4 linked regions of the Anolis sagrei genome follow. The protein of the gene in region 2 purifies or fractionates together with the protein of the main gene of each other region. This does not show direct contact. Links are inferred from orthologs where the notes say so. Each region holds a gene or a part of one and is shown on either strand. Other genes may lie near its edges.

Region 1 (6,980 bases), on a different chromosome or scaffold from region 2:
ATAACTCATCCTCTGGAACCATAAAGAATTAGATAGAGAGGAGTCGGATTGCCAAGAAAGTGTGCTTTCAGATAAGGGTGTCCTCTCTGAACCTAAAGAGGTGGAAGATGCCTTAATGCTGTGGGATTATGGGATTTGTAGTTTGGTGAGGCACCAGAATTCTTTGCCAGAGAATAAGGACTTTGTAAAACTACAACTTTCATGATTCCATAGCATTTAGTCATGGCCAATAAAGTGGTGTCAATGTGCATTAATTCTGCAGGATCGATGTTCCCCCAGTCTCTAAGATACCTATAATAAGCATGTATTATTCATGGATTTTTACATAAGAACTTTTTTAACATTTTACATGAGAATAGGACACTGGGTTCATATTGTCATTATATTTTGGGGTATCCAAATCTTACAAGACTTGCAGAGCCAGCTTTGGTAGACTAGAATAAGCAGCATTTTTCACTTCGAGACCCTCTTCTAAAATAGTGGCCCCATCTATATGGCCATATAATGCAGTTTCATATTGCAGTTTATTTGCATTGAACTGCACTGTACGAGTTCACAATGCCATGTAATGCATTTCAGTGCAGTTAAACTGCATTACGAATGCATTATATAGCAGTGTAGATGGGACCAGTGTCTCAGAAATCCCTTGACTTGCCCCAAAGCTGGATGTGTTTTTGCCTATCTGTCTGTATGTCTTAAATAAGTCAATCTATTCAGGATTCCTTTACTCCAATGGCGTTTCTTCTTCCTCTTGGCTAAAACAGTTGCACTTTTGTTTTGGGGTTTCCTTTAATATTTTAAAACAGCTGTAATTATAATACATCCATTGACTTGGAGCAGCAGGCTCACTCAATGAGAAATCTCAGAGCCTTTAGCTAGGGATGATCTTTTGGCTTCTGAAGGACAGCTTTTCCCTTTGATCACTTTAAATAAAAGCCAAAATCAGCCCTTGTGTTTTTATTATTAAGTTACAGCAGGAAAAACAGCGAATGAAAACCTCAAAAGTACAGCATGAAAAGAGAAAAGAAAGGGGAGAGAGGAAAAAATAGCTGCATCTTTAAGACAAAGAGCCATCCAGCCATAGATATAGATAAATATGATTCTGTGTAGATATGGTATCATGAAAGGGACCCCATAAAGAAGGACAATTATATGTTGCATATTCCAGAGGAGGCAAACCAAACAATCTCCACATCAATACTGACAAAGAATCAGCAAGAAATACTGTTTACCCGCAAGCATAAAGAAATTACATTTATTATTATTATTATTATTATTATTATTAACTTTATTTGTACCCCGCTAACATCTCCCGAAGGACTTGATGCAGCTTACAAAGGCCGAGGCCCTCAATAAAACAACAACATAACAATACATTATATAACTCATAAGCAAATCAAAAAACATTAAAGCAGTAACAATAAACAATAAAACAATACACCATGGCACATTTAAAAACTATGGCCGGGCCAAATGTAATGGGTACAGTTAAAAATGCTGGACATGACAGGTGAAATGTAGGATTCTAGGATAGGTGCAATGTGCAGACAGTCTTAAATCTCTAATAAAGTGCGTTTGGGACATGATGCTGGGAGTTTCCTATTCTGGAAAGGCACACTGGAACAGCCAGGTCTTCAAGCTCTTCCTAAAGACTGCCAACGTTGGGGCTTGTCTGATGTCCTTGGGGAGGGTGTTCCAGAGTTGGGGGGCTACCACAGAGAAGGCCCTGTCTCTCGTCCCCACCAAGCGCGCTTGTGGCACAGGTGGGATCGCAAGCAAGGCCTCTCCAGATGAACGGAGGGAACGTGTGGGTTCATATACGGAGATGTGGTCACGCAGGTAGACGGGTCCCATACCGTTCAGGGCTTTGTAGGTAAGCACCTGCACCTTGAATTTGGACCGGAAAATGAACGGCAGCCAATGGAGCTCCTTAAACAGGAGGGTTGACCTCTCTCTGTAAGGAGCACCAGTCAACAACCTGGCCTGCTGGACATATATTAGAAGCCAATATTACTTTCTCATTACTTCCTTTTCCAGATCACCAGACTGGGCCACAGCAAGGCGTGGCAGGGGACGGCTAGCAAATAAATAAATATAGATAGGGAAGGATGTTAACTTCAGCCCTCCCCCCAGGTGTTTTGGAGTTCCACAATTCCTAATGGCCTCAGGCTCCTTGAGGCTGTTAGGAATTGTGGGAGTTGAAGTCCAAAACACTTGGAGGGAGGGGACTTCCACAATTCCTAATGGCCTCAGGTTCAATGAGGCTGTTAGGAATTGTGGGAGTTGAAGTCCAAAACATCTGGAGGGAGGGGACTTCCACAAATCCTAATGGCCTCAGGTTCTCTGAGGCTGTTAGGAATTGTGGGAGTTGAAGTCCAAAACATCTGGAGGGAGGGGACTTCCACAATTCCTAATGGCCTCAGGTTCTCTGAGGCTGTTAGGAATTGTGGGAGTTGAAGTCCAAAACACCTGGAGGGAGGGGACTTCCACAATTCCTAATGGCCTCAGGCTCTCTGAGGCTGTTAGGAATTGTGGGATTGAAGTCCAAAACATCAGGAGGGAGGGGACTTCCACAACTCCTAATGGCCTCAGGTTCTCTGAGGCTGTTAGGAATTGTGGGAGTTGAAGTCCAAAACACCTGGAGGGAGGGGACTTTCACAATTCCTAATGGCCTCAGGTTCTCTGAGGCTGTTGGGAATTGTGGGAGTTGAAGTCCAAAACACCTGGAGGGAGGGGACTTCCACAATTCCTAATGGCCTCAGGCTCTCTGAGGCTGTTAGGAATTGTGGGATTGAAGTCCAAAACATCAGGAGGGAGGGGACTTCCACAACTCCTAATGGCCTCAGGTTCTCTGAGGCTGTTAGGAATTGTGGGAGTTGAAGTCCAAAACACCTGGAGGGAGGGGACTTTCACAATTCCTAATGGCCTCAGGTTCTCTGAGGCTGTTAGGAATTGTGGGAGTTGAAGTCCAAAACACCTGGAGGGAGGGGACTTCCACAATTCCTAATGGCCTCAGGCTCTCTGAGGCTGTTAGGAATTGTGGGAGTTGAAGTCCAAAACACCTGGAGGGAGGGGACTTCCACAATTCCTAATGGCCTCAGGCTCCCTGAGGCTGTTAGGAATTGTGGGAGTTGAAGTCCAAAACACCTGGAGGGAGGGGACTTCCACAATTCCTAATGGCCTCAGGCTCCCTGAGGCTGTTAGGAATTGTGGGAGTTGAAGTCCAAAACACCTGGAGGGAGGGGACTTCCACAATTCCTAATGGCTTCAGGTTCTCTGAGGCTGTTAGGAATTGTGGGAGTTGAAGTCCAAAACATCAGGAGGGAGGAGACTTCCACAATTCCTAATGGCCACAGGTTCTCTGAGGCTGTTAGGAATTGTGGGAGTTGAAGTCCAAAACACCTGGAGGGAGGGGACTTCCACAATTCCTAATGGCCTCAGGCTCCCTGAGGCTGTTAGGAATTGTGGGAGTTGAAGTCCAAAACACCTGGAGGGAGGGGACTTCCACAATTCCTAATGGCTTCAGGTTCTCTGAGGCTGTTAGGAATTGTGGGAGTTGAAGTCCAAAACATCAGGAGGGAGGAGACTTCCACAATTCCTAATGGCCACAGGTTCTCTGAGGCTGTTAGGAATTGTGGGAGTTGAAGTCCAAAACACCTGGAGGGAGGGCCCAAGTTTGCCCAGGCCTGGGCAAACTTGGGCCCTCCCTCCAAATGTTTTGGACTTCAACTCCCACAATCCCTGGCCTCCTTAAGCGAATGAGAGGGAAAAGAAAAGGCCTGAGGCCAGGAATTATGGGAACTGTAGTCTAAAACGCCTGGAGGGAAGGCCCAAGTTTGCCTATGCTTGATGTGGCTAGATAGACTCAGGAAGGGCTGCTGGGAACTACCCTTCCCGCCATGCCCCGGGCCTCTCCGCGCGGAAGAGCGCGCGCGGGGCAGTTTGTCCCTCGCGGGGCGCCGTAGCAGCAGCAGCAGCAGCAGCACCCGGCGGGGGCGGTTAGCTGTCAGGCGCTGACGGGGGACGGGCGCGCCCAGTTGGTCGCCGCTTCCCCGGCGGCGGCTGAGGCGTCGTCGTCGCTGCTTGTGAAGAGAGGGGAGGGCCTTCTCTCTCCGGCTCCCTCGCTCTTTCTCCGGCCATGGACGAGCAGGCGGGGCCCGGCGTCTTCTTCAGCAACAACAACAACAACAACGCGCTGCTCCTGCCTCCGCCGCCGGCCTCCTCTTCCTCTTCCTCCTCCTCTCAGGCCGAGCCTGGGGAAGCGGCGGCAGCGGCGGCAGCAGCAGCGGCTGTGGCAGCGGCGGGAGGCGTCGTCGGCCCAGCGGGTGCCTCTCCTTCTTCTTCTTCTCCTTCCTCGGGAGCGGCGGTGCCGGCCTCTGCGGCGCGGGCTCAGTACAGCGTCCCCGGCATCCTCCACTTCCTGCAGCACGAATGGGGCCGCTTCGAGGCCGAGCGCGCCGAGTGGGAGGCCGAGAGGGCCGAGCTGCAGGTGCGTCCCTTCTCGGGCAAGGCTGGGCCAGCCTGGGAGTGCCAAGTTTTGGACCAGGCCTTTCGCCTCCTCCTCAAACTACAGCTCCCAGGACCCCACAGCCTTCAGCCCTGGTGGCAGTGGTGTTTATTTATTTATGTATCATGTTTTTAACAAACAAACAAAACACAAAGTTTGCAAGCTTGGTAGTTGATTAAATGTCCTTTGACCAGTAGCTAGCCACTTGGAGTTCCTCTGGTGTTGCTGGAATGGTGTCATACATACATTCATTCCTTACCTGCCTCTCCTCTCCCTTTCCCTCCCTTCTCAACCGTTTCTTGAATTGCTTTCCTTTTATTAAGGGTTTTTTTTAATCGTGTCAGGAGCGACTTGAGAAACGGCAAGTCGCTTCTGGTGTGAGAGAATTGGCCATCTGCAAAGACATTGCCCACACATTCATTCCTTACCTGCCTCTCCTCCCCCTTTCCCTCCCTTCTCAACCGTTTCTTGAATTGCTTTCCTTTTATTAAGGGTTTTTTTTAATCGTGTCAGGAGCGACTTGAGAAACGGCAAGTCGCTTCTGGTGTGAGAGAATTGGCCATCTGCAAAGACATTGCCCACACATTCATTCCTTACCTGCCTCTCCTCCCCCTTTCCCTCCCTTCTCAACCGTTTCTTGAAGTGCTTTCCTTTTATTAAGGGTTTTTTGTTTTGGTCGTGTCAGGAGCAACTTGAGAAACTGCAAGTTGCTTCTGGTGTGAAAAAATTGGACGTTGCCCAGGGGATGCCCAGATGTTTTTATGTTTTTACCATCCTTGTGGGAGGCTTCTCTCGTATACCCTCATAGTTAAAGCAGTGGTATTCCCCATAGAAATAGTTTTCTAAGATCTACAAAGACACTCGCTGGAACACCTCAGCAAGCAAGAGTCCAAAAGTGGCAGGCTCAAACCCAGATCCTCAACCAATGGCTGATGCCAGATGAGAGACTCCCCCCTGGGCACACAGAAGACTGGGTGACTTGGAAGGCACTGAACAGACTGCACTCCTCACCATGAGATGCAGAGCCAACCTTCAGAAATGGGGCTACAAAGTGGAATCCTCGACATACAAGTGTGGAGAGGAGCAAACCACTGACCACCTGCTGCAATGCAACCTGGTTCCTGCCACATGCACAATGGAGGACCTTCTTGCAGCAACACCAGAAGCACTCCCAAGTGGCCAGATACTGGTCAAAGGACATTTAATCAACTACCAAACTCACAAATTGTGTATTCTGTCTGTCTGTTTGCTTTGTTCTGTTAGAAATGTAATATAATATGACTGGTTGTCCAGACACGACAAATAATTAAAATTCCCCGTAGTCAGGCCCGTAGCCAGGATTTCAATTCGGGGTGGGGGGCTGAGTTTGTTTGGGGGGGGGGGGCTGAGTCTGAGTGAAAGAGGGTCTACCCTAGCAAACCTTTTGTATGGGATATATTGAGTATGGTGATCAGATCATGATATGAATAAACATAACAGTTTAAATAATGCACCAGAAAGGCCTTTTCGCGAACCACCATGAGAATTTCGGGGGGGGGGGGCCTTGGGGGGCTACATGCCTGCCCGTAGTAACCTATGGATGTGAGAGCTGAACCATAAGGAAGGCTGAGCAAAGGAAGCTAGATGCTTATGAACTATGATGCTGGAGGAAAATTCTGAGAGAATTGGTCACCTGCAAAGACATTGCCCAGGGGACGCCCGTATGTTTTCATGTTTTTACCATCCTTGTGGGAGGCTTCTCTCATGTCCCCGCATGGGGAGCTGGAGCTGATAGAGGGAGCTCATCCACGCTCTCCCCGGATTCGAACCTGCGACCTGTCGGTCTTCAGTCCTGCCGGCACAGGGGTTTAACCCACTGCGCCAACAGGGGCTCCTTTTATTAAGGGTAAAGGTAAAGGTTTTCCCTTGACATTTAAGTCCAGTCATGTCCGACTCTGGGGGGTGGTGCTCATCTCCATTTCTAAGCCAAAGAGCCGGCATTGTCCATAGACACCTCCAAGGTCATGTGGCTGGCATGACTACAATGAGCGCCGTTACTTTCCCGCCGGAGCGGTACCTAGGAAACTTTACCAGTCCAATTAGATTTGACGCAGATGACCAAGATGGTTTTTAATATTTTGATAAATGTTTTTAATGTTTATGTATACTTCTATGAATTCTTCTCTCGGCATTGAATGTTTGCCGTATATATGCTGTGCTCCGCCCTGAGTCCCCTTCATGGTGAGAAGAGTGGAATATAAATGTTTTAAATAAATAAATAAATATTGATCTACTTACATTTGCATGTTTTCGAAATGCTAGGTTTACAGAAGCTGGGGCTGACAGCGGAAGCTCACTCTGATCCCCGGGTTTGAACCTGCGACCTTTCAATCAACAAGTTTAGCAGCTCAGTGGTTTAACCCACTGCACCACCGGGGGCTCCTTTTATCACACTATTATTATCATGCTTTTATTTTCATAGTTCAGGGGAAGG
Region 2 (7,745 bases):
GAAGGTAATGGCGCTCCATGCAGTCATGCCGGCCACATGACCTTGGAGGTGTCTACGGACAACGCTGGCTCTTCGGCTTAGAAATGGAGATGAGCACCACACCCCAGAGTCAGACATGACTGGACTTAATGTCAGGGGACTACCTTTACCTTTACTATGCTGCCATATAAACCAGTCCGAAGCAGATAATTTGGCTTCAGAAACAGGATGATATGGCAGTGTAGATGGAGCCTCAAGGACTTAGGCGTTCCTTCTTGGGTGGATTGAACAATTCAGAAGGTTCAAAATATATGTAAGAAACATACTTCTCACAATTGGCTGCCTTGGAGCAAAATTGTTTTCTGCTGCTTTAGACACCAGGACCCAAAGCAATAGATTCAAATTACAGTCAAAGACATTCCGAATAAAGATTGAGGAGGAATTTCTTAATGCTAACAGATATTTGACAGTGGAAGATACTGCCTCAGACTTTCCTCCTTTGGAAGTTTTAAAACAGAGATTAAAAGGCCACTTCACGGAGAAGCTTTAGAAGCTGATTCCCGCATGGCAGGGGTTTGGATTAAGTATCCCTTGCTGTCCTTTCCAATTCTATGATGCTAATTTTGGTACTTCTTCTCTTGTAATGTGCGGTGGGCTTTGCGGATGCTATCTATAACAGCAGATTATCTAAAAATAGCTGGTGGGAGTGGGAAGGAGTGCAGGTCATTTCTAGTTTCTCTTCTTCAGTAGTTCTAACTGGGGAATCTGTTTCAGAGGCTGGATCTACACTGCCATTTAATGCAGTTTGGAATTGCACTGTATGGTCAATGTAGAGCAATATAACACAGTCATTGAACTACCTTATATGTCTATGCTATTCATATAATGCAGCTTGGAACTGCTTTATATGGCACTGTAGATCTAGCCTGAGGCATTCTGGAAAGGGGTGAATTGGATTTTGTATCAGCATTGTCTAGTGTAGCACTTCTCAACCTTCCTAATACCGCAGCCCCTTAATACAGTTCCTCATGTTGTGGTGACCCCCAACCATAAAATTATTTTCGTTGCTACTTCATAACTGTATTTTTGCTACTGTTATGAATTGTAATATAAATATCTGGATGTATTTTCATTCACTGGATCAAATTTGGCACAAATACCTGATACGCCCAAATTTGAATACTGATGGGGTTGGGAGGGGGATTGATATTGCCATTTGGGAGTTGTAGTTGCTGGGATTTACAGTTACTTACTTACTTAGGCGATCCCTCATTGGACGAGTAAGTCTTCCATGATCAGTATTCTTGTGGTTCTGTGGGTGACTGTGGAGCCCTATTCTTGACCTGCATCTTCTCCCACAGTGAGGGCATTGGTTTCCAGGAGGAAGGCGTTCTCAGTTGGGGTTGGCTTGACACACCTTCCTCTTGGAAGGCGTTTCTCTCTTTCACCCTCCATTCGTGCCTCTTCAAATTCTGCAGCACTGCTGGTCACAGCTGACCTCCAGCTGGAGCGCTCAAGGGCCAGGGCTTCCCAGTTCTCAGTGTCTATGCCAGAGTTTTTAAGGTTGGCTTTGAGCCCAATTTTAAATCTCTTTTCCTGTCCACCAACATTCCGTTTTCTGTTCTTGAGTTTGGAGTCGAGCAACTGCTTTGGGAGATGGTGGTCAGGCATCCGGACAATGTGGCCGGCCCAGCAGAGTTGATGGCAGAGGACCATCGCTTCAATGCTGGTGGTCTTTGCTTCTTCCAGCACGCTGACATTTGTCCGCTTGTCTTCCCAAGAGATTTGCAGGATTTTTCGGAGGCAGCACTGATGGAATCGTTCCAGGAGTTGCATGTGATGTCTGTAGACAGTCCACGTTTCGCAGGCATATAGCAGGGTTGGAAGGACAATAGCTTTATAAACAAGCACCTTGGTATCCCTACGGATGTCCCGGTCCTCAAACACTCTCTGCTTCATTTGGAAAAATGCTGCACTCGCAGAGCTCAGGTGGTGTTGTATTTCGATGTCGATGCTGGCTTTGGTGACGTGGTGGCTGCCAAGGTAGCAGAAATGGTCAACATTTTTTAATGTTACACCATTAAGCTGTATCTCTGGCGTTGGAGAGGGATTGGTGTACTGGTAGTGGGTCTGTAGGTGACTGTGGAGCCCCATTCTTGATCTGCATCTTCTTCTGCAGTGAGGGCATCAGTTTCCAGGTGGAAGGCGGTCCCGGTCGGGGTTGGCTTGATGCGCCTTCCTCTTGGCACGTCTCTCTCTTTCACCCTCCATTCGTGCCTCTTCAAATTCTACAGCACTGCTGGTCACAGCTGAATTCCATCTGGAGCACTCAAGAGCCAGGGCTTCCTGGTTCTCAGTGTCTATACCAGAGTTTTTAAGGTTGGCTTTGAGCCCATCTTTAAATCTCTTTTCCTGCCCACCAACATTCCATTTTGAGTTCGGAGTAGAGCAACTGCTTTGGGAGACGGTGGTCAAGCATCCAGTCCAGAGGAGTTGATGGTTGAGGACCATGGCTTTGATACTGCTTCTCTGCTTCTTCTAGCACGCTGACATTTGTCCGCTTCTCTTCCCAAGACACCTCATTCTATTGTGGAGAGATATTATACAACACATCACACAGGCTTTTTGCCAGGACTTGCGAGGCCTTATTTTTTGAAACTTTGTTGTTGTTCATTCGTTCAATCGTTTCCGACTCTTCGTGACTTCATGGACCAGTCCACGCCAGAGCTCCCTTTCGGTCGTCACCACCCCCAGCTCCTTCAAGGTCAATCTAGTCACTTCAAGGATACCATCCATCCATCTTGCCCTTGGTCGGCCCCTCTTCCTTTTTCCTTCCATTTTCCCCAGCATCATTGTCTTCTCTAAGCTTTCCTTTCTTCTCATGATGTGGCCAAAGTACTTCATCTTGGCCTCTACTATTCTTCCCTCCAATGAGCAGTCAGGCTTTATTTCTTGAAGTATGGACTGGTTGGATCTTCTCGCTGTCCAAGCCACTCTCAGCACTTTCCTCCAACACCACAGTTCAAAAGCATCTATCTTCCTTCGCTCAGCCTCACATCCGTAGGTGACTATGGGGAATGCCATTGCTTTAACTATGCGGATCTTCGTTTCCAGTGTGATGTCTCTACTCTTCATTATTTTATCAAGATTGGTCATTGCTCTCCTCCCAAGAAGTAAGCGTCACCTGATTTCCTGGCTGCAGTCTGCATCTGCAGTAATCTTTGCACCTAAAAATACAAAGCCTTTCATGGGCTCCACGTTTTCTCCCTCTATTTCCCAGTTGTCAATCATTCTTGTTGCCATAATCTTGTTTTTTTTAATGTTTAGCTGCAACCCAGCTTTTGCGCTTTTTTCTTTCACCTTGATTAGAAGGCTACTCAGCTCCTCCTTGCTTTCGGCCATCAAAGTGGTGTCATCTGCATATCTAAGGTTGTTAATGTTTCTTCCAGCAATTTTCACCCCAGCCTTGCATTTGTCAAGCCCTGCACATCGCATGATGTGTTCTGCATACAAGTTGAATAGGTTGGGTGAGAGTATGCAGCCTTGCCGTACACCTTTCCCAATCTTGAACCAGTCTGTTGTTCCATGGTCAGTTCTTACTCTTGCTTGTTGTTCATTCGTTCAGTCGTCTCCGACTCTTTGTGATCTCATGGACCAGCCCAGGCCAGAGCTCCCTGTCGGCCGTCGCCACCCCCAGCTCCTTCAAGGTTAGTCCAGTCACTTCAAGGATGCCATCCATCCATCTTGCCCTTGGTCGGCTCCTCTTCCTTTTTCCTTCCACTTTCCCCAGCATAATTGTCTTCTCCAGGCTTTGCTGTCTCCTCATGATGTGGCCAAAGTACTTCAACTTTGTCTCTAGTATCCTTCCCTCCAGTGAGCAGTCGGGCTTTATTTCCTGGAGGATGGACTGGTTGGATCTTCTCGCAGTCCAAGGCACTCTCAGAACTTTCCTCCAACACCACAGCTCAAAAGCATCTATCTTCCTTCGCTCAGCCTTCCCTAAGGTCCAGCTCTCACATCCGTAGATTACTACTGGGAATACCACGGCTTTGACTAGGCGGATCTTTGTTGCCAGTGTGATGTCTCTACTCTTTACTCTTGCTACTTGGTCCTTATACAGATTCCTCAGGAGAGAGACAAGGTGGCTTGGTATGTCCATACGACCAAGAACTTGCCACAATTTATTATGATCCACACAGTCAAAGGCTTTGGAATAGTCAATGAAGCAGAAGTAGATGTTTTTCTGAAACTCCCTGCCTTTCTCCATTATCCAACGGATATTGGCAATCTGGTTTCATTCCTCTGCCTTTTCTAAACCCAGCTTGTACATCTGCCAACTCTCTCTTCATGTATTGCTGGAGTCTTGTGAAACTTAGTGCAGGCCAAAGCTCTCTCCTCGAGTACCTAAGATAGAGACACATACGCCAGTGGTGTAACTAACTACAGCCTTTATGGGGAGGAAACAAACGTTCCTCAATTGCTCTGAACAGGCCATTGCGGCCTTGTTTACTTGAGGCGTGCTGAGCTAGGCCTCGGCCTTTCCCCTCACGTATGTGTGTTGTGTAGAGAGATATATATGGGCAGTGTTATTATGCCTTTCGGGAGGGGGGGGGAAGAGACGCCAAGGAGGGGAACTGAGGAGAGCGCCCCCCCTGCAGCCTCTTCACAATGAGGCGTCCCAAAGACTGGGATGACATCAGTCGCTCGTCTCCAAAAAGGCGCGTCCCCATTGGCAGGGAAGGCTCCTCCCGCTAGCCAATCAGCGCAAGGGAAGGCATCAAGTCGGGCGGGCTGACGTGCGAGCTCCCGTCTCTCTCTCTCTCTCCGCCGTACGGGGGTTTATTTTGCTTTGGGACACTCCATCCGCCGCCGCCATTAGGTCCTCCTCCTCCTCCCCCTTTTGGCCAAAGTGGTACCGCCCTCCCTTCGACTTCCCACATCCTTTTGCCCTCCCAGAGCCGGAAGAAACCATGTCCTGAGCGCGCGCGGGGGGGAGGCTGGGGTGGGTGGGAGGCAGGCAGGCGGGCGGCTGGCGGAGGGGAATGGGCCGCAGCTGGTGCTTCTGAGGAGGCCGCCGCCGCCGCCGGATTAGAAGAACGGCCCTGGAAGGTAAAGTAGAGCTCTTCTCCTCCATTATGGGGTTGTTTGTGTTGGGGTCGGGATTAGGGAAAGAGGAGGAGGAGGAACAGCAGAACCTACCTTTCGGGACTTCGAAGCTTCCTGAGGGAGATGGACTTGGTGAGGCCTTTCTTTGAAGGAGGAAAGCGGGGGGGGGGGGGGGTTGCACTTTTGGGGGGAAAGGGGGGTTTGTGAAGGGCCTCCCCCTGCTTTCCTCTTCGCCATTTCAGTTTAATTTGGTTCCTTTTGGCCTCCCTTTTTAGTCAGGGTAAAGGATGCCTTAGAAAGGCCGCTCCTTTAGAAGAGCTGGACCCTGCCCTGTCCTCTTTCCTTCAAAACAACATTGTATTTCAAATAGGAGAAGTTCCTGGGCTGTCCCTTGTGAGAGTCGTGCCTCTACCTTTCCCCCTTTGAAAAACAGTCCTAGTTTGTTTAAACTAGGATTTTATCTTCTGAGAGTTGTACCTCTTTTCCTCTTTAAGAAACAGTCCCATTTTGTTTTAAATAAGAGATGTTCCTGGGCATTTATCTTGTGAGAGTTGTACTTCTTTCTGTCCTATCTCCTTCAAAACAACATTGTATTTCAAATTATTGGATGCTCCTAGGATTTTATCATGTGGGAGTTGTACCTCTTTCTTTTCCCCTTTAAGAAACAGCCCCATTTTGTTTAAAATAGATGTTCAAGGGCTTTTGTCTTCTGAGAGTTGTACCTTTAAAAAAACACTCCTATTTTGTTTTAAATGGAAGTTCCTGGGCTGTCTCTTGTGGGATTTGTACCTTTTTCTTTTCCCCTTTAAAAAACAGGCCCATTTTGTTTAAACTAGGAGATGCTCCTAGGATTTTATCTGCTAAGACTTCTGTCTCTTTCCCCCCCTTTAAAAAACAGTCCCGTTTTGTTTTAAATAGAAGTTCTTAAATGTTATCTTGTGAAAGTTGTACCTCTTTCTTTCCCCTTTAAAAAACAGACCCATTTTGTTTAAACTAGGAGATGCTCCTAGGATTTTATCTTGTGAGAGTTGTACCTCTTTCTTTAAAAAAAACACTCCGATTTTGTTTTAAATCGAAGTTCCTGGGCTTTATTTTGTGAGAGTTGTCCCTCTTTCTTTTCTCCTCTGAAAAACAGTCCCATTTGGTTTAAAATAGGAGAAGTTCCTGGGCTTTATCTTGTGGGAGTTTTATCTCTTTCTTTCCCCTGTCCTCTCTCCTTCAAAACAACATTGTATTTCAAATAGGAGATGCTCCTGGTATTTTATCTTGTGATCGTTGTACCTCTTTCTTGCCACCTTTAAAAACAGTCACATTTTGTTCAAATTGGGCCTGTTCCCCCCCCCCCCCATTTCTGGGGTTTTTGTCCTTGAAAGGTTTTTGCTTGGGTGAGGAAAGGGATCTTTTCGAGAGAAAGGTGATTTTCTAAAACTTTTACGTTGTGGTGGTGGGGAGCTGAGCAAGAGGCCCTATCACCCCTGCCATGTAGTGAAGTTTGGAACTGCATTGAGCTGTATTTTGTGAGTCTACACTCACCATATAATGCAGTTCCAAACTGCTTTTTCTGGCAGTGTCGATAAAGGCCAACTATTACAGGGAGGCTGTGCTTGTGTTTTGGATGTAATGACATCACCAGCCTAGTCCCTTGCGAGGATTTGGGATTTGGAGGCACCTGCCCTGGAGGGATGCTGCTGTTGCAACTGCCTTGTTGTTTACCAGGAAATGCAGCGCATGACGGTGGCTCAGCCAAGGGTTGGCTTTCTGAATTTTTAACAGTATTAATGCGTACCTGATGTTGTACTGAGTCACTTGCTGCCTCTCTCAGGCTTTCTGGAGGAAACCACGAAGTATTGCAACTCTTGTTTTGCTTGCCTTGATGCTGGTGCGACGGCATTTAAAAGACGCTGTGGTTTGCCTTGATGGCATCACTTCTGCATTCAACAAGGAAGGGGGGATTTGCTACAGTCAATGCTTGGTTATGGTCCACCCACTACATCCGTCAGCAATGTGTTGAATTCAGCTTGGCATATGCATCAGAGGGATGTTTCTGTGTGCATAGTTATCCACATTTAGTGCTGCAGTCCCTACATCTTACTACAGTGAGGTCATACCTCTTCCATCTTCCGCCCCTCCTCTTCCTCATTTATTCATAGATGATAACCTGTGTCTGACTCTCTCTTCCTCTGTTACAAATATGATGCAAACACTGCTTGTTTTAATGACATGGTAGTTAAATTATTCACCATTGCTTAAATAATGAAATCAACATCTAGTAATCCATATCAGTCTTTCACAGCAGTAGCTCTTTAGACTGTATGTTTCTTCAGTTTGAAAGAATTGTATACCCCTCAAACCTTGTATCTTGCAGTCCTCTTGTTGAATTTGCATGTGTTAGGGGATTTAATTAATAGACACATATCTTTTGTATTTTACTCCTTCTTCTGATCTTTAGTATATTACCCATACCACCACATAGTAGCATTGGTGAGATGAGAACAGAATACCTCCAAAGTCAGTCGAGTTTATGCCTTGCAGTTTTGTAATCACACATTTTTGGTATGACCAAGGGATTGTTTTCCAGCATGTCATGAGTAATGACACTATAACTGTTCATTCTTCTGATTGCATATTATTGCTTTCAGGGTCAAATATCTACCTACTTT
Region 3 (7,719 bases), on a different chromosome or scaffold from region 2:
TTGGCCCCTGGGAGTGAGACCTATTTAAATGGTAAAACATTGAAAAAGGCATTGGGAAGATTTTATTATGTTTTGAAATCTGACACATTTATTGTGTTTTTATGTGCAGTTTTGTGGTTTGTTAATTAGTGCCTTTGAAAATGGAAAGTTAATTTGTAAAATCAGAGAAAATGCCATGAACTAAGGCCTCATCTATACTGACCATTTAATGCAGTTCAAAGCTAGCTTCAAACTGTGGTGGCTAGAGAATAAACCTTCACAAAAAATGTTTTAAAAGCCCTTAACGTGCATCAATGCTCTGTGGTTTGGGGAATCATCACCCAGGCCTTCAACTGGTTCCAGGATTTTCCTAGGTAATCATATGTACATTGAAACCACTTTCTTCAATACTGATTTGAAACTGTATTAAATTGTCAGTGTAGGTGGGGCCCAAATCATATTTACACTCATTAGAGTAGACCAATTATGTCTATAGGATGTGTTGTCTCACCATTCAACAACTGATTGAAAGAGACTACTCTGCTTGGGACTAGCCATAGATTTTGCATTCACAGATTCAACTGCTCTTATTTTTACTGATAAAATGATTTAAAACTATTTAATTAATTAATTAAATTTGTTTTCCACATGACAACTTTCAAATATGTTTTGTTTTAGTCATTTTAGGTCCCATATTTGAAGGAAGGCAGGATATGAATTAAATAAATACAACAGAAAATCCATTATGGGGAAAAAAACATGAAATAGCTGTACAGTTCCTTTGAGTTGTTAATATGAGAAGTGCTACATTGAGAAATGCCTGAAGCATTGTGTTGTACTTCCACTTCTCCTTAATATATTCCATGTGGTAAAGATGATGTAATTAGTAGTGGAAAAACAAAGGAGGCTTAGAAGAACAACAGTCTCTATAGACCCTGTAAAATTCCAGCAAAAAAAGGGCTATTGGCAAGTATCTTACTTTCTTAACTGTGAGTTACTGTGATGTTCATGGAACTTAACAGTTCCATGAACATAAACCTACTTCTGAGTAAACAGTCAAAGAGTTAAATGGAATTTACTTCTGGGCAGCACTAAAGTAAATCTAATGCTAGTAATATTTATTGAAATAAAGAGGACCTAGGATAACTAAAACAAAACAAAATGACCATAGGTGATTTAAATAATCTTAAAGTAGATAATTAAAACATTGAACTAGGTCAGTATCTTCCATAACTTCGTCCAGTCATCAATCAGAACAGAGACTGTAGGCAAGAAATCAGAAGAAGACTACTACGACAAATAATAATACATTTTATGTTACTCGGTTCTCCTAACAGCTTGAGGTTAACAGTCAAAACATACGAAAATAAAATACATATAATAAAATATATCAATAGAAATGCACCATTATAAAAACATACATCAAATACAGGGTACAAAGATGAACATATAGCAGTAATAGAATTCAAATCCAAAATTCATGTTTCAAAGTTGACTGGGTAGGTCTGACCGAAGAGATAGGCCTTTAATTTTGGTTTAAATTTGGACAGCTCTTAAATTTGTTGGTCCTCTGGCAGATCATTCCAGAGTTTTGGGGCAGCCAATGAAAAGGTCCTCTGGGTGACAGTTGCCAGTCAGGTTCTGGTTGGTTGGAGTAGCTGACCACCAGATGACCTCAGTGTCCTAAGAAGGTGACCCTGTAGGTAACCTGGACCCAAACCATGTAGGGAGCTACAAAGGCTTGGAAGGGAAATTATGAACTAAATAAGATCCTGAATTGTAAGGATATATTATTAAATACTAAAATTAGAATTGCCCATGCCATCATGTTTCCAATTTCTATGCATGGTTGTGAGCGCTAGAAGCAACAAAAGCTGATAAGAAAAAAAATGAAATAATTTGAAATGTGGCGGAGAAAGGTTCTATGGATACTGTGAACTGCTGAAAAGACAAATGAATTAATTATATAATAAATCAGGTCTAAACTCTCCTAAAAAGCCAAGATGACTAAACTGAGACTGTTGTATTTTGGACTTAGCATGAGAAGACATGACACACTAGGAAAAAAATGACAAAGCTTGGTTGAGGATAGTATGAAAAGACTGCAGGTGGATGGATTCAAAGAGACGGTAAGCAAAGAGTCAAAGGCTTGGAAACCAATCCCTATGAGGGAGCTGGATATGTTTAGCTTGGAAAAGAGAAGATTGAGAGGAGATATGTTTGTCATATTTAAGTGCCTGAAAAGATGTCACACTGAGGAGGGGGCAGGCCTGTTTTCTGCTAGTCTGGAGACAAGGAGCAATGAATTCAAACCAAAGGAAAATAGATTCCTCTTAAACATTAGGAGGAACTACCTGATGATAAGAGCTGCTTGGCAATGGAATATGCTGCCTGGAGTGTCCTTCTCTGGGGGTTTTAAAGCAGAGGCTGAATGGCCAACTGTCGGGGGTGCTTTGTTTGTGCTTTCCCTGCATGGCAGAATGGGATTGGACTGGATGGCCCTTGGGATCTCTTCCAACTCTATGATTCTGATTCATTAATGGGGCCACCGTAAGCTGAAGTTAACTCGATCACAACATGACTAAAAAGGCCCATCAATTTCCACTTTAGATGGTGCCAGCACTGGATTTAAATCCAATGTTAATGCAATGATGACTGCCAGAAATCTTGAAGGAACACAGGCATTTTTTTCACAGGCAAGGGACACTTAGAGCCCTTCTACACAGCCATATATCCCAGAATATCATGGCGGAAAATCCCACAATATCTGTTTTGAACTGGGATATATGGCAGTGTGGACTCAGATAAGCCAGTTCAAATCAGATATTGTGGATTATCTGCCTAGTTATTGATGACTCCACACTGCCATACATCCAAGTTCAAATCAGAAAACGTGGGATTTTATTCAGCTGTGTGGAAGGGGCCTATGTGTTAGTTTTCCCAGATCCTGTCTCAGAAATACAGCCTGGAGTTAGTTGGCAGCCTCCCATCCAAGGTCCCTTCCACACAGCCATATAACCCAGAATATAGAGGCAAAAAACCCCACAATCTCTGCTTTGAACTTAAATATATGGCAGTGTGGACTCGGGGTCCTTCCACACAGCCCTATATCCCAGAATATCAAGACAGAAAATCCCACAATATCTGCTTTGAACTAGGTTATCCGAGTCCACACTCCGATAATGTGGGATTTTCTGGGATATAGGGCTGGGTGGAAGGACTCCTGAAGTTTTCAGATTTTTGGACCATTTTCAACCCCAAACTATTCAAATTTGCCCTCGGACATGGTGCTTTTTCTTCAACATCCAGTGACTGTATTTCTATACACAAAAAGATTGTCTACAGCTGACATCATGAAGTGGCATAAAAGTATTGCAAGGACAAGAATTGGCCTTTATTTGCAAAATACTTGGCCACTGGGAGTGAGACCTACTGAAAATGGTAAAATGCTGAAGAAGGCATGGGGAAGATTTTATCATGTTTTGAAATCTGACACATTTATTGTGTTTTTATGTGCAATTTTGTGGTTTGTTAATTAGTGCCTTCGAAAATGAAATTTATTTATTTATTTAGAGCTTTTATAACCCGGTCTTCTTGACCTCTGAAGAGGGACTCAGGGCGGCTAACAGCAGAAAATTCAACACAAATATAGCAAACATAATATTTATTATTTATTACTTATTTATTTACTTTGCTTATATACTGCTGTATCTCAAGTCCGAAGGCGACTCACAGCGGTTCACAAACAGTAAAAACAGTAGAAACAGCAGTGGTTCCATACAACATATAACAATTGACTTAACACATTATCCATAAATTACCAATAAGCAATTACAATGCACAATTATTACAAAATAATTAATTAATAGCATCATAATACATTAATACAAAATACACTAAAATACAGATCATACAATATCATACAATTACAAAAGCCAGGGCTGGTTAATTTGTAAAATCCGAGAAAATGCCATGAACGAAGGCCTCATCTACCCTGACCATTTAATGCAGTTCAAAGCTAGCTTCAAACTGTGGCGGCTAGAGAATAAACCTTCACAAAAATGTTTTAAAAGCCCTTAATGTGCATCAATGCTCTGTGGTTTGGGGAATCATCACCCAGGCCTTCAACTGGTTCCAGGATTTTCCTAGGTAATCATATGAACATTGAAACCACTTTCTTCAATACTGACTTGAAACTGTATTAAATGATCAGTGTAGGTGGGGCCCAAATCATATTTGCTCTCATTAGGGTTGATATCCTGGGATATAGGGCTGTGTGGAAGGGCCCCAAAACTAGCCAGGACAGGCCCTGCTCGGCCTCCAAGACCAGATGGGATTTCGGTGAGGGCATTTGGCACCACACAGGTGTCATGGATCCAGGCTGTGGGGCAGTCCTGATCTTTGAAACATTCTGAATTAACTTTTTAGTTCCCCTGAGGACAGCGAGAGCATTATTTTGCCCGCCTTCCCATAGAAGACCTTTCCCCGCTCGCTCTGGATAAAGGACAACACTGAACTTCAACTAGGGCAACAACCTCCTCTTGTGTTCCCGAAGAGATCCGGAAGCGGCCCGGTTAGTTCAGGGCAACCAGCCGGAAGCCACAGGCTTCGCGTCCCCTTTCCGCGCATGCGCTGCCCGGGCGCGCTGCGGCTCTGCGCCTGCGCAGAGGAACCCGGGCGTCCCTGAGCTTTGCTTTCGGCTCCTCCCCCTGCTCGGCTCCCTCCTCCCCCTCCCCCTCCCTCCCTCCCTCCTGCTGCTGCTGCCATACCGGGTAGGTTTCCAGTCAGTATGGCGGCTCCCACTGCGGCTGGGAAGGTAAGAGCGGTTGGCGAGGGAAGGGCAGGGAAGGGAGGGGAGGAGGAGAAGGAGAAGGAGAAGGAGAAGAAGGAGGGGAGCTTCCCGCTTGGCTGTCCTTCCTTCCTTCCGCGAAGGGCGGCCCTCTTTCCTTCCCTCGCTCGCTCGCTCTCTCCTGAAGTGGGAAGGCGGCGGTTGGGCCGGCCTCCCCTCCCCGCTTCAGCTTCCCCGGCGTTTGTTTTGACGCTTCTCTTCTCTTCTTTTTCCCACAGGTCGGAGGAAAGTTTTCCTCGTCGACGGACTCCTGAGGGAGGCAGAAAGCGAGAGAGAGAAGGTTGGGAAGGCAGGCAAGAAGGCGCCAGGCCTGCACCTCAGCCAAGAAGAAGAAGCAGCAGCAGCAGCAGCAGCAGCAGGAGACACCTGCAGTGCCCTGGCCCCTCTCCTTCCCCTTGGCCATCGCCTGCTGTCAGATCTGCCTCCCTGCTCAGGAAAGGCCACCGCCTGGGATGCCTTCCCAGGTGCATGGAGCCCTCTTGGCCGGGAAGAGCGCTCCCCTGCCTCCCAGGAGCATTGGGCGGCCGGCCCTTTGAGTCCTCCTGCCTGGGCCTGAGGAGGAGGAGGAGGTGGTGGTGGAGGAGGACAGGCTTCTTTCTCCCTTCGCCTTGAGGTGCCTCACTCTGCCTTGATGCCCGAGGAAGACGAGCCGTGGACTCACCCCTGGACTGGGCTGACCACCTTTTTCTCACGTTGGGTTGTTTTGCAGTCCTTTGGCCCTTCCTTCCCCCGTTTCCCCACTCCCTGAATCTTGCCCCGCGCGAGGGAAACTCCTGGGCCCTGTTGATGGAAGGGAAAAGCGCGATTACATCCCAAACAGGAATTTTCGCGTGAGTCATTCGCTTGGAGTTATAGCCATCCCCACCTTAATTTAACAAGCTCTGTTCCTCTTCAGATGCTTGTCCTCATTATTGACAGACATGGATTAAAGTGGAACTTTGCAGACTCGCTGCCGGAGACAATGGGGCTTTTTTGCTGGATTATTGCCCGCACTGGTTCACACACTGAAAGTATGCGTTGTTAGATCTCACTGGCAGATAATGTTTGCCCTGCTTTAATGTGAAGTGTTGCGAGGTTTTTGCTCATCAACTGTGGAGGGTGGCTTGGGTCAAGAAGAGTTTCTCTTCTTTCCTGGTTGGTGTGGCACCGCATATCTCTCCTCGATGCCTTCAGCCTTGGCTATCTTCACTTGCCGCCCGAACTCTCACCCGTTTCAAGAACGCCATGTCTACCTGGATGAGCCTGTCAAAATTGGGCGCTCAGTGGCTCGATGTCGACCCGCTCAGAATAATGCCACCTTTGACTGCAAGGTCCTGTCTAGGAACCATGCGCTTGTCTGGTTTGATCAGAAAACAGGAAAGGTAAGACACCCTACATTCCCCAAGAGAAGTAAAATAAACTTTGCATTTCCTTGTTTTCATTAGGGCAGTGGTTCTCAATCTGTGGGTCCCCAGATGTTTTGGCCTTCAACTCCCATAACTTGAAACGTAAACTCCCATAAATCTTAACAGCTGGGATTCCTGGGAGTTTTAGTAGATTCATGGGAGTTTTTGTTTATTTATTATTTATTTATTTACATCACTTTTTTCCCGCCCATTTCAGCCCGAAGGCAACTCAGGGCGGCGTTCAAATCGGCAACAATTACATGCCGTATATAAATACATACATCAGTTAAAAGCAAAAAATTACATCAAATACATTAAAAACCATAAAAGCAATAAAAACAATAAAATTATAAAACTATGTCTTCCTGTTCAATTCCTGTAGTTTTAGCAATTACACAAGTGGGGGAACTTCAGGGGCTCATTTCTCCCTCATTTTTACAGCTGTTGGGGAGGAACTTGCTACAATGGTAGAACACATTTACCACTGTTAGCCCATCAAGTGTCAGAACATTTCACTTAACCACAATATTTTGGGGAAATTTCAAAGATTTTACGAACAACATTTAAAAATAAAAGCTGCAAGAACTATCTCCTTGAATTGTCTATACAGTGACCCAAAATAATAGGGGATCATTTTCCTCAACTTTAAGAAATATTCATACATCTACTGATTTTAGGAATTTTTTTGACAAAAACCTTTTTTAAAAAATAGCTACAACATTGAATGTCTCTCATATTAACTAATAGAAGAAAGAAATATTAACCAATTCTTCATTTTCACAAAAAATCCTAGAGTTGGAGGGGACCCCCAAGGGACAACCAGCCCAGTGGTTCTCAACTTGTGGCTCCCCAGGTGTTTTGGCCTACAACTCCCAGAAATCCCAGCCAGTTTACCAGCTGTTAGGATTTCTGGGAGCTGTAGGCCAAAACATCTGGGGACCCACAGGTTGAGAACGACTGATCTAGCCCAACTCCCTTCTTCCAGGTAGAAGGGCACCATCAAAACTCTCCTGGCAGGTGGCCATCCAGCTTGTAAACCAAGGGCCATCCATTTAGGGATTTCTTCCCAGCCCAGCACTGATTTAAATAAATAAATAAATAAATAAATATTATTATTACTTACTAGAAGTATCCCCAAAATCCTGGGGACCCACAGGTTAAGAACGACTGCGTAACTGGTTGGCCTTGCTTGAGCCTCATAGACTAAAACTCAGAATTAACATTTAATAAATGGCATCTACTAAATAAATATGGATAAAGGTGTCCTAGCTGTTTTAAGCTTTTCTCAGTACAATATTGAACTATGATTATTGGATTTGGATCCATGTTAGGTTACTTACTTATTTGTTTGACATAAGTTGTATTTAGCTTTTCACATTTATTGATTTCATTGGGGCCTAACTACGACAACTAACCTAATTTAGAGCCTCAACAGTATTTTCTGAATGACTGTAATCATATCAGGTGCTATGAAGGATTTGAGTTTTTTTTAAAAAAAACACACAC
Region 4 (6,972 bases), about 90 Mb from region 2:
AAACATAAACATCTAAAAATAAATAAATGTAGAACTGGGATAACTTTGGATGTTCCACACAAAGTGCTGAGATTTGATGACAACATTAAGACAAAAGTTTGTTATTGATCTGAAGGGCACTGGAAGGAAATGATACACTGTAGTGTCGAATACTAACATGCTGTTAATGAAAAAAAAACTTTGTGCATTTTTTAAAAAAGAAGGATAAATGCCAAATGGTATCAGGCAATAGTCACATGAAAAGGAATGTTTACTCCAGTCGTTCTTAACCTTTTGGTGGTGAGGGAGAAGGTGAGGGACCGCACTGAGAATCTGACAAAAGCTATTAGGCAACAGTGACAAATTAATCTTACCTAACTTGGTTTGGAATAAATCATGTTTGCCCCTTATTAGGAATGAACCAATATCTTGATGGCAATAATTTAGTTAGAAAAAGTGTCTCCCCCTTTTCCTCTCCTTCCCATCCACTGAATTTGGACTGTAATCTCTTTAGGGAATTCAGAGTGATATAAGAGAATATGACCATCCCTGTCCAAAGGAACTTATAGCCCACATTTAGAGGATTGGAAGAGAGAAGCAGCCAATAGTAATCCAGCCTCAGAGGGTAATAGGAAGAGAACATCCTGATCCTCAGCAGCACAAAGAAAATTTGAAGAAGCCATAGAGATCAATACCATATAATCTGTATGCCTTTATAGAGATTATATAGTACATTATGTTCAGTGGAATATGTCCCATAAGGAATAAACCAGGGCTTCTTAACCTGTGCACCAAATATCCCATTTGCCAATTGCTCTGTATCAATACTAAAGCTTATAAATAAGCCAACAGGCAAGACGTTTTCCTTTTTTAAGGGGGTAGCTGGATTATGTTTTTCAGACAAGGAAATACATTTTTATAGATTTTTATTGTAATACACAGAGAGAGAGAGAGAGAGAGAGAGAGAGAGAGAGAGAGAGAAACATACAATCTTCGAAATTCAACAATCAAAATACAAGTATTATTTCCCACCACCTCCCCATTCCAACCTGTCAACCCCCACCCTCACTTTTCTTTACATAATACAAAGGTACAGGAATATTACTGAGTATTTATACCTCAGTATGATTGGACTTTTAATCATTTTCCCCTGGTTTCTCTGGCTATTCTATAGTCCAAACATAATACAAAGATTGACTGTAGCTCTGAGTCTTATTAATCTTATACATAGCCATCTGTCTAAGGTTCTCAAAAGTACTCATTTTGTTTTCTTCATAATCCTGTATCCTGACAAGAAATATGTTTTGAGAAAAGTATATATTTCTAAAACTGACAGCAGCCAACAATTCGAGCTACATAGAAAAAAATCTCACTTCAGTAAAAAATGGTACATTTCTGATGAAGCTTGCTGGTTCCAATGGAGATTTATGATTGGGTTGTTGTAGGTTTTTTCGGGCTATATGGCCATGTTCTAGAGCAGGGGTCCTCAAACTATGGCCTGGGGGCCGGATGCGGCCCTCCAAGGTCATTTACCCAGCCTTCGCTCAGGGTCAACCTAAGTCTGAAACGGCTTGAAAGCACACAACAATAACAACAATCCTATCTCATCAGCCAAAAGTAGGCCCACACTTCTCATTGAAATACTAATAATTTTATGTTTGTTGAAATTATTCTTCATTTTAATTATTGCATTGTTTTTAAGTGTTTTTTGCACTACGAAAAAGATATGTGCAGTGTGCATTGGAATTCATTCATGTTTTTTCCAAATTACAATCCGGCCCTCCAACAGTTTGAGGGACTGTGACCTGGCCCTCTGTTTAAAAAGTTTGAGGACCCCTGTTCTAGAGGCATTCTCTCCTGACGTTTTGCCTGCATCTATGGCAAGCATCCTCAGAGGTTGTGAGGTCTGTTGGAACTAGGAAAATTGGGTTTATATATCTGTGGAATGACCAGGGTGGGACAAAGAACTCTTGTCTGTTGGAGCTAGGTGTGAATGTTTCAACTGACCACCTTGATTAGCATTTTATGGCCTGGCAGTTTTTTGTGTGTGTGGCTTGTTAGTGCCTGGTGCAATCTTTTGTTGAGAGGTGATTAGATGTCCTTGATTGTTTCCTCTCTGTTGTTTTGCTGTTGTAATTTTAGAGTTTTTTAATACATGTAGCCAGATTTTGTTCATTTTCATGGTTTATTCCTTTCTGTTGAAATTGTCCACATGCTTGTGGATTTCAATGACTTCTCTGTGTAGTCTGACATGGTGGTTGTGAGAGTGGTCCAGCATTTCTGTGTTCTCAAATAATATGCTGTGTCCAGGTTGGTTCATCAGGTGCTCTGCTATGGCTGACTTCTCTGGTTGAAGTAGTCTGCAGTGCCTGATATCTGATTTTATTCAGCATTTTCCAGATTTTATTCAGGTTGAACCCCTTTAGGATTAAAAATGAAAAGCTAAACATTTCCAGCATTAACTGAATAATACACAATCAGTACAAAAGTTACTATATTTATTTATTATTATTTTATTTACTGCATTTATATCCTGTCCTTCTCAACCCCACAGGGGACTCAGGGCAGTTTACAAAATGCAGAAACACACACACCACACACAACCGTCAAGGTGTTCTAGAAAATTATTTCAGAGGTATCCAGAGGTTAAGGCAATCAGTGGTAGAGTTATTAAATAAGAGAGAGGAGTGGATAACGGGTAACTAAGGGCCCTTCCACACAGCCCTATATCCCAGAATATCAAGGCAGAAAATCCCACAATATCTGCTTTGAACTGGGTTATCTGAAGGTCTACACTCAGATAATGTGAGATTTTCTGCCTTGATATTGTGGGATATAGAGCTGTGTAGAAGGGCCTTCTGGCGGGATCTACACTGAGCTATATCCCAGGATTTGATCCCAGATTATCTGCTTTATTTATTTATTTTTATATCCTGCCTTTCTCACCCCGAAGGAGACTGACTCAAGGTGGCCTTACAACAAGCAGCAATTTGATGCCATACACACATCTATCAAATGAACAAATCATTATAACAATAGGTAAAGGTAAAGGTTTTCCCCTGACATTAAGTCCAGTCATGTCCAACTCTGGGGATTGGTGTTCATCTCCATTTCTAAGCCGAAGAGCCGGCGTTGTCGGTAGACACCTCCAAGGTCATGTGGCTGGCATGACTGCATGGAGCGCCATTACCATCCTGCCGAAGCGGTACTATTGATCTACTCACATTTGCATGTTTTAGAACTGCTCAGTTGGCAGGAGCTGGAGCTAACAGCAGGATATGAACCTTTCGGTCAGCAAGTTCAGCAGCTCAGTGCTTTAACCCACTGCACCACATATAATACCTAGTTAGATAAACCAGTGTGGTGTAACTGACCATTGGGACCTGGGTTCAAATCCCTGCTCAGCCATAGAAGTCCACTGGGTGATCCTGAGCAGGTCACACTCTCTCAGCTTCAGGGAAGGCAATGCGACGGCATCATCATAGCTCAAAATAATTTAAAGGCACACAACAATAAAGTGCTTATTCAACGCGATCACTATCACATTTTGTTATTCAACAGAGTAAATATGTGTTTCCCAACATATGGAAGAAAATACGTTTGTGTGTCTGTGCCTTTAAATCGCTTACTGATTTATGGCAACTCCATAATTTCATAATAGTTATGTGTAAGGAATACTCGGAAGAGATTGTGCCATTTTTTTCCTCTGAAAAAGCTGGTATCGGTTGGTAGTCTCCCATCCAGGCGTTCACCAGGGCTGAACCTACTTAGCTTCCGAGATTAGACGGGAGAGGCAGCGTAATGCCGCAAAGGAAAACATCCCAGCGATGATTTTGCCCTGACGGCGCTGCTTCCCCGTCTCCACCAATCACAGAACCCCGCGCGCGAGGGGCGTGGCCTGAAGGAGGGCGCTGCTCTCGGGAAGGCGTTTCCTGAACGGGTGGCCATGGCAACGCTATCGCAAGTGGAGAGCGCCTTCATTGACGTCAGAGGTGGGCGCGGAGGGGCAGTGACGAAGGCGGAAGTGGTGCCTGTGAATTGCTGCAAGAAGATGCGCTGAGGGAGCCTTCTTCCATTCGTGCCTCTCTGCCCCGCGATGGAGGTAACCGGACCGGGTGACGAGGGAAGCAGGGGCTGAGGGCTCTGGGCTGCCGTGTGGACAGGTTGACCCGGGTCTGAAGCAGTGTAGTCGCCTTTCACTCCTGACTTCGAGCGAGGGGGCTCCGCCACTTGGAGCTGACCCGCATTTGCGTTGCCTGAGGCGGGGAGGAGGCCCACTGTAGAATGAAGGCAGTTTGACACCACTTTATCTGCCCTGGCTCCATGCTGTGGACTCCTAGGAGCCTTCAGCCTTGTCTGCCAAAGAGGGCTGGTGCCTTACCAAACTACAACTCCGAGGATTTCATTTCCATGGAGCCATGGCAGTTAAAGTGGTGTCAAACTATATTAATGTTACAGTATAGATGCATCTTAAGATTCTAGATTGGTTTTGACATCCAGTACCAAATGCTAATTGGCATAATGGACTACAGCTCTGGAGACCTGAGTTCAAATCCTCTACCATGGAAATCCTCCCTCCCTGGACAAATCACACTCTTTGCCTCAGAAATCCCATTACAATTCTTGCCAAGAAAACCCTTGGTAGAGTCACTTTAGTCTGAAAGGACATAATGGTGCACACAGCAACAGCAAGCCTGAATTCATGGCCATTCATTATGAGTATTGAGGAGCCGCCAGTGGTGCAATGTGTTAAACCCTTGTGCCATCACGACTGCTGACCAAAAGGCCAGTGGTTTGAATCTGGGGAGCGATGTGAGCTCCCATCTGTCAGCTCCAGCTTCTCATGTGGGGACATAAGAGAAGCCTCCCAGAATGGTACAGCATCTGGGCGTCCCCTGGGCAATGTACTTGCAGATGGCCAATTCTCTCACACCATAATAATAATAATAATAATAATAATAATAATAATAATATGACTTGCAGTTTCTCAAGTCTCCCCCTTACAATAAAAATTATGAATATTGTTTCCCACACACACACCCCTGACTCATCCTACTAGTATGGTTAAAAGTACTGTGCAAAAGCAGATCCATACCTTTCGCCCCCTCCATTATCACAAACCTGACTTGTGGGAACGAGGGAGAGAGCTTTCTCCATAGTGGCCCCCCAACTCTGGAACCCATTGCCCAGTGAGATTAGGCTACTCCCCACCTTAGAAACCTTGAAGAACCTCAAAACGTGGCTTTTCCATTGTGCTTTTGGAGACTGATCTTACATCTCCCTTGTCATGCTCCCCTATAATGTGTGTCCTCATATTGCATTGTCTCTTGCCCACATGAAGGACTGTCTCTACCACTCGGTTGATGAGTCTCCCTTACAGATATATAGGTTTTTGTTTTTATCTCATCTTGAGTTTTTATCATTGTATCTTGCACATGTGGCCCATTCATTGTGCTTGTGTTTGATTTTCTATTGTATTACTTTGCACTGTTTATTATATTTTATGCTTGATTTATTTTATTTTACTGTAATGTTTGCTTTATGCTTTTTATTTTACTGTATTGAAGTGCACTTCTGGGCTTGGCCTCATGTAAGCCGCCCAAGCCCCTTCAGGGAGATGGTGGTGAAGTATAAATAAAGTTTATTTACTTATTTAAACAGCAAACTACAGGAAGGAAAAACTGGGTGAAACTCTGCTCTTCCTGCTGGCCTCTTGCACTTTTAAATAGATAAAGCAGAAATACAATACACAGACCATTTCACTGCACAGTTATTGTGGTTATTCACTTGATCCCAAGCTTTGGGACCTTGGGAATGACAGTATTCCCTGTTTTCACTGGCCCTTGATGACAGGTTTGACACTTCCAATTGTGTCTAAAATGTAGGCAAAAATCCTGTGTCTGATGACTTCAACAGCCACTGCTAAGAGAGGCTTACATCTGTGTAGAGGTGTTCTGTAAATCACATATATGGAATACTTAAAATTATTTATTTATTTATTTATTTATTTATTATTTGCATTTATTGACCGCCCCTCTCTTAACTGATCAGTTGTTTTTGCTTTAGCAACAACCTCATACATGTGAAAATCAAACATTAAAATAATTTATCTTTATGGTAGCTAAGTAACAGTTTGAATTATTCATAATAGTAGCTTGCAGGGTGTGGATATGGAATTACCCTGTTTATAAATATTATACAATGTTGATTCCTGCCCTTTCAACTTCAATGTTGAGATGCTGAAATGTAAGTAGACTATATGATAGTTTATTATCATTGAAGAGAAAATTAAGCACAAAAAATAAAATCCAGTGAGTAAAAATTATAGGGATAACATTTTATGATCAGGTTACCAGAGGTCAAAAGTATTTTGGGGGTCGTGTTTTTGAATTAGCATTCTGTCTGTTAGAAAGCCTGCCTAGGTAAATTGTTGTTCCTTTGATTCGTTCATTTTTCTGCCTCCCAAGCTGTTTAATCCCAATGTGAAGCTACTCATGTAGTCTGATATTGTGATTTCGTGTGTCACAACTATACTGACATATCACCTGCTACTCAGCCATGGTGTGTTGTGATGGAAATAGACCTTCTACCTTTGCAAAGTCTTTCTCTACATCTTTGAAAACTTTGAAAGTGTTCACTTCTGATTTAGATTAATTTTGGTATATCATTTAACCTGAACTTGACAAGCTGGCTGATTGGAATTGGGTTTATTTGGAACTAACCAGCTTGAAAGTGTGAGATATGAAGATGTTCTTTGTTTATTTCAACAGACCATTATTAAGATTAATCAGTTCAGGTGCCAAGCAATCCACTACATTATGATTACTCTAAAATAGAAGCAGAAATGTACGAACACCTCCTAGTATCTAGAAAATGAAAGGAAACTTGTCACCTCTGGATAGAAGAAGGCTAGATTTATCCCTATCACAGTAGAATCATAGAGTTAGGAGAGACCTCGTAGGCCATCCAATCCAACCCTCTGCCAAGAAGCAG

Evidence for each region.
Region 1: the proteins of ZRANB1 (region 2) and STRN purify together in Homo sapiens (affinity purification with mass spectrometry; 4 studies listed by BioGRID and IntAct, with this or other methods). This does not show direct contact. The link is inferred for Anolis sagrei from reciprocal best matches to the Homo sapiens genes ZRANB1 and STRN.
Region 3: the proteins of ZRANB1 (region 2) and SLMAP purify together in Homo sapiens (affinity purification with mass spectrometry; 3 studies listed by BioGRID and IntAct, with this or other methods). This does not show direct contact. The link is inferred for Anolis sagrei from reciprocal best matches to the Homo sapiens genes ZRANB1 and SLMAP.
Region 4: the proteins of ZRANB1 (region 2) and GCC2 purify together in Homo sapiens (affinity purification with mass spectrometry; 3 studies listed by BioGRID and IntAct, with this or other methods). This does not show direct contact. The link is inferred for Anolis sagrei from reciprocal best matches to the Homo sapiens genes ZRANB1 and GCC2.

Annotation. Positions count from the first base shown.
Region 1 is NC_090021.1:51,293,133-51,300,112, forward strand, and holds the start of STRN (striatin), read left to right. Parts: upstream 1-3,977; 5' UTR 3,978-4,138; coding exon 4,139-4,489; intron 4,490-6,980. UniProt on the Homo sapiens protein: Calmodulin-binding scaffolding protein which is the center of the striatin-interacting phosphatase and kinase (STRIPAK) complexes.
Region 2 is NC_090023.1:197,458,381-197,466,125, reverse strand, and holds the start of ZRANB1 (ubiquitin thioesterase ZRANB1), read left to right. Parts: upstream 1-4,742; 5' UTR 4,743-5,088; intron 5,089-5,153; exon of another isoform or gene 5,154-5,217; intron 5,218-7,745. UniProt on the Homo sapiens protein: Ubiquitin thioesterase, which specifically hydrolyzes 'Lys-29'-linked and 'Lys-33'-linked diubiquitin. Also cleaves 'Lys-63'-linked chains, but with 40-fold less efficiency compared to 'Lys-29'-linked ones.
Region 3 is NC_090022.1:57,663,136-57,670,854, reverse strand, and holds the start of SLMAP (sarcolemmal membrane-associated protein), read left to right. Parts: upstream 1-4,702; 5' UTR 4,703-4,795; intron 4,796-5,046; 5' UTR 5,047-5,991; coding exon 5,992-6,189; intron 6,190-7,719. UniProt on the Homo sapiens protein: Associates with the striatin-interacting phosphatase and kinase (STRIPAK) core complex, forming the extended (SIKE1:SLMAP)STRIPAK complex.
Region 4 is NC_090023.1:107,107,117-107,114,088, forward strand, and holds the start of GCC2 (GRIP and coiled-coil domain-containing protein 2), read left to right. Parts: upstream 1-3,963; 5' UTR 3,964-4,075; coding exon 4,076-4,081; intron 4,082-6,972. UniProt on the Homo sapiens protein: Golgin which probably tethers transport vesicles to the trans-Golgi network (TGN) and regulates vesicular transport between the endosomes and the Golgi.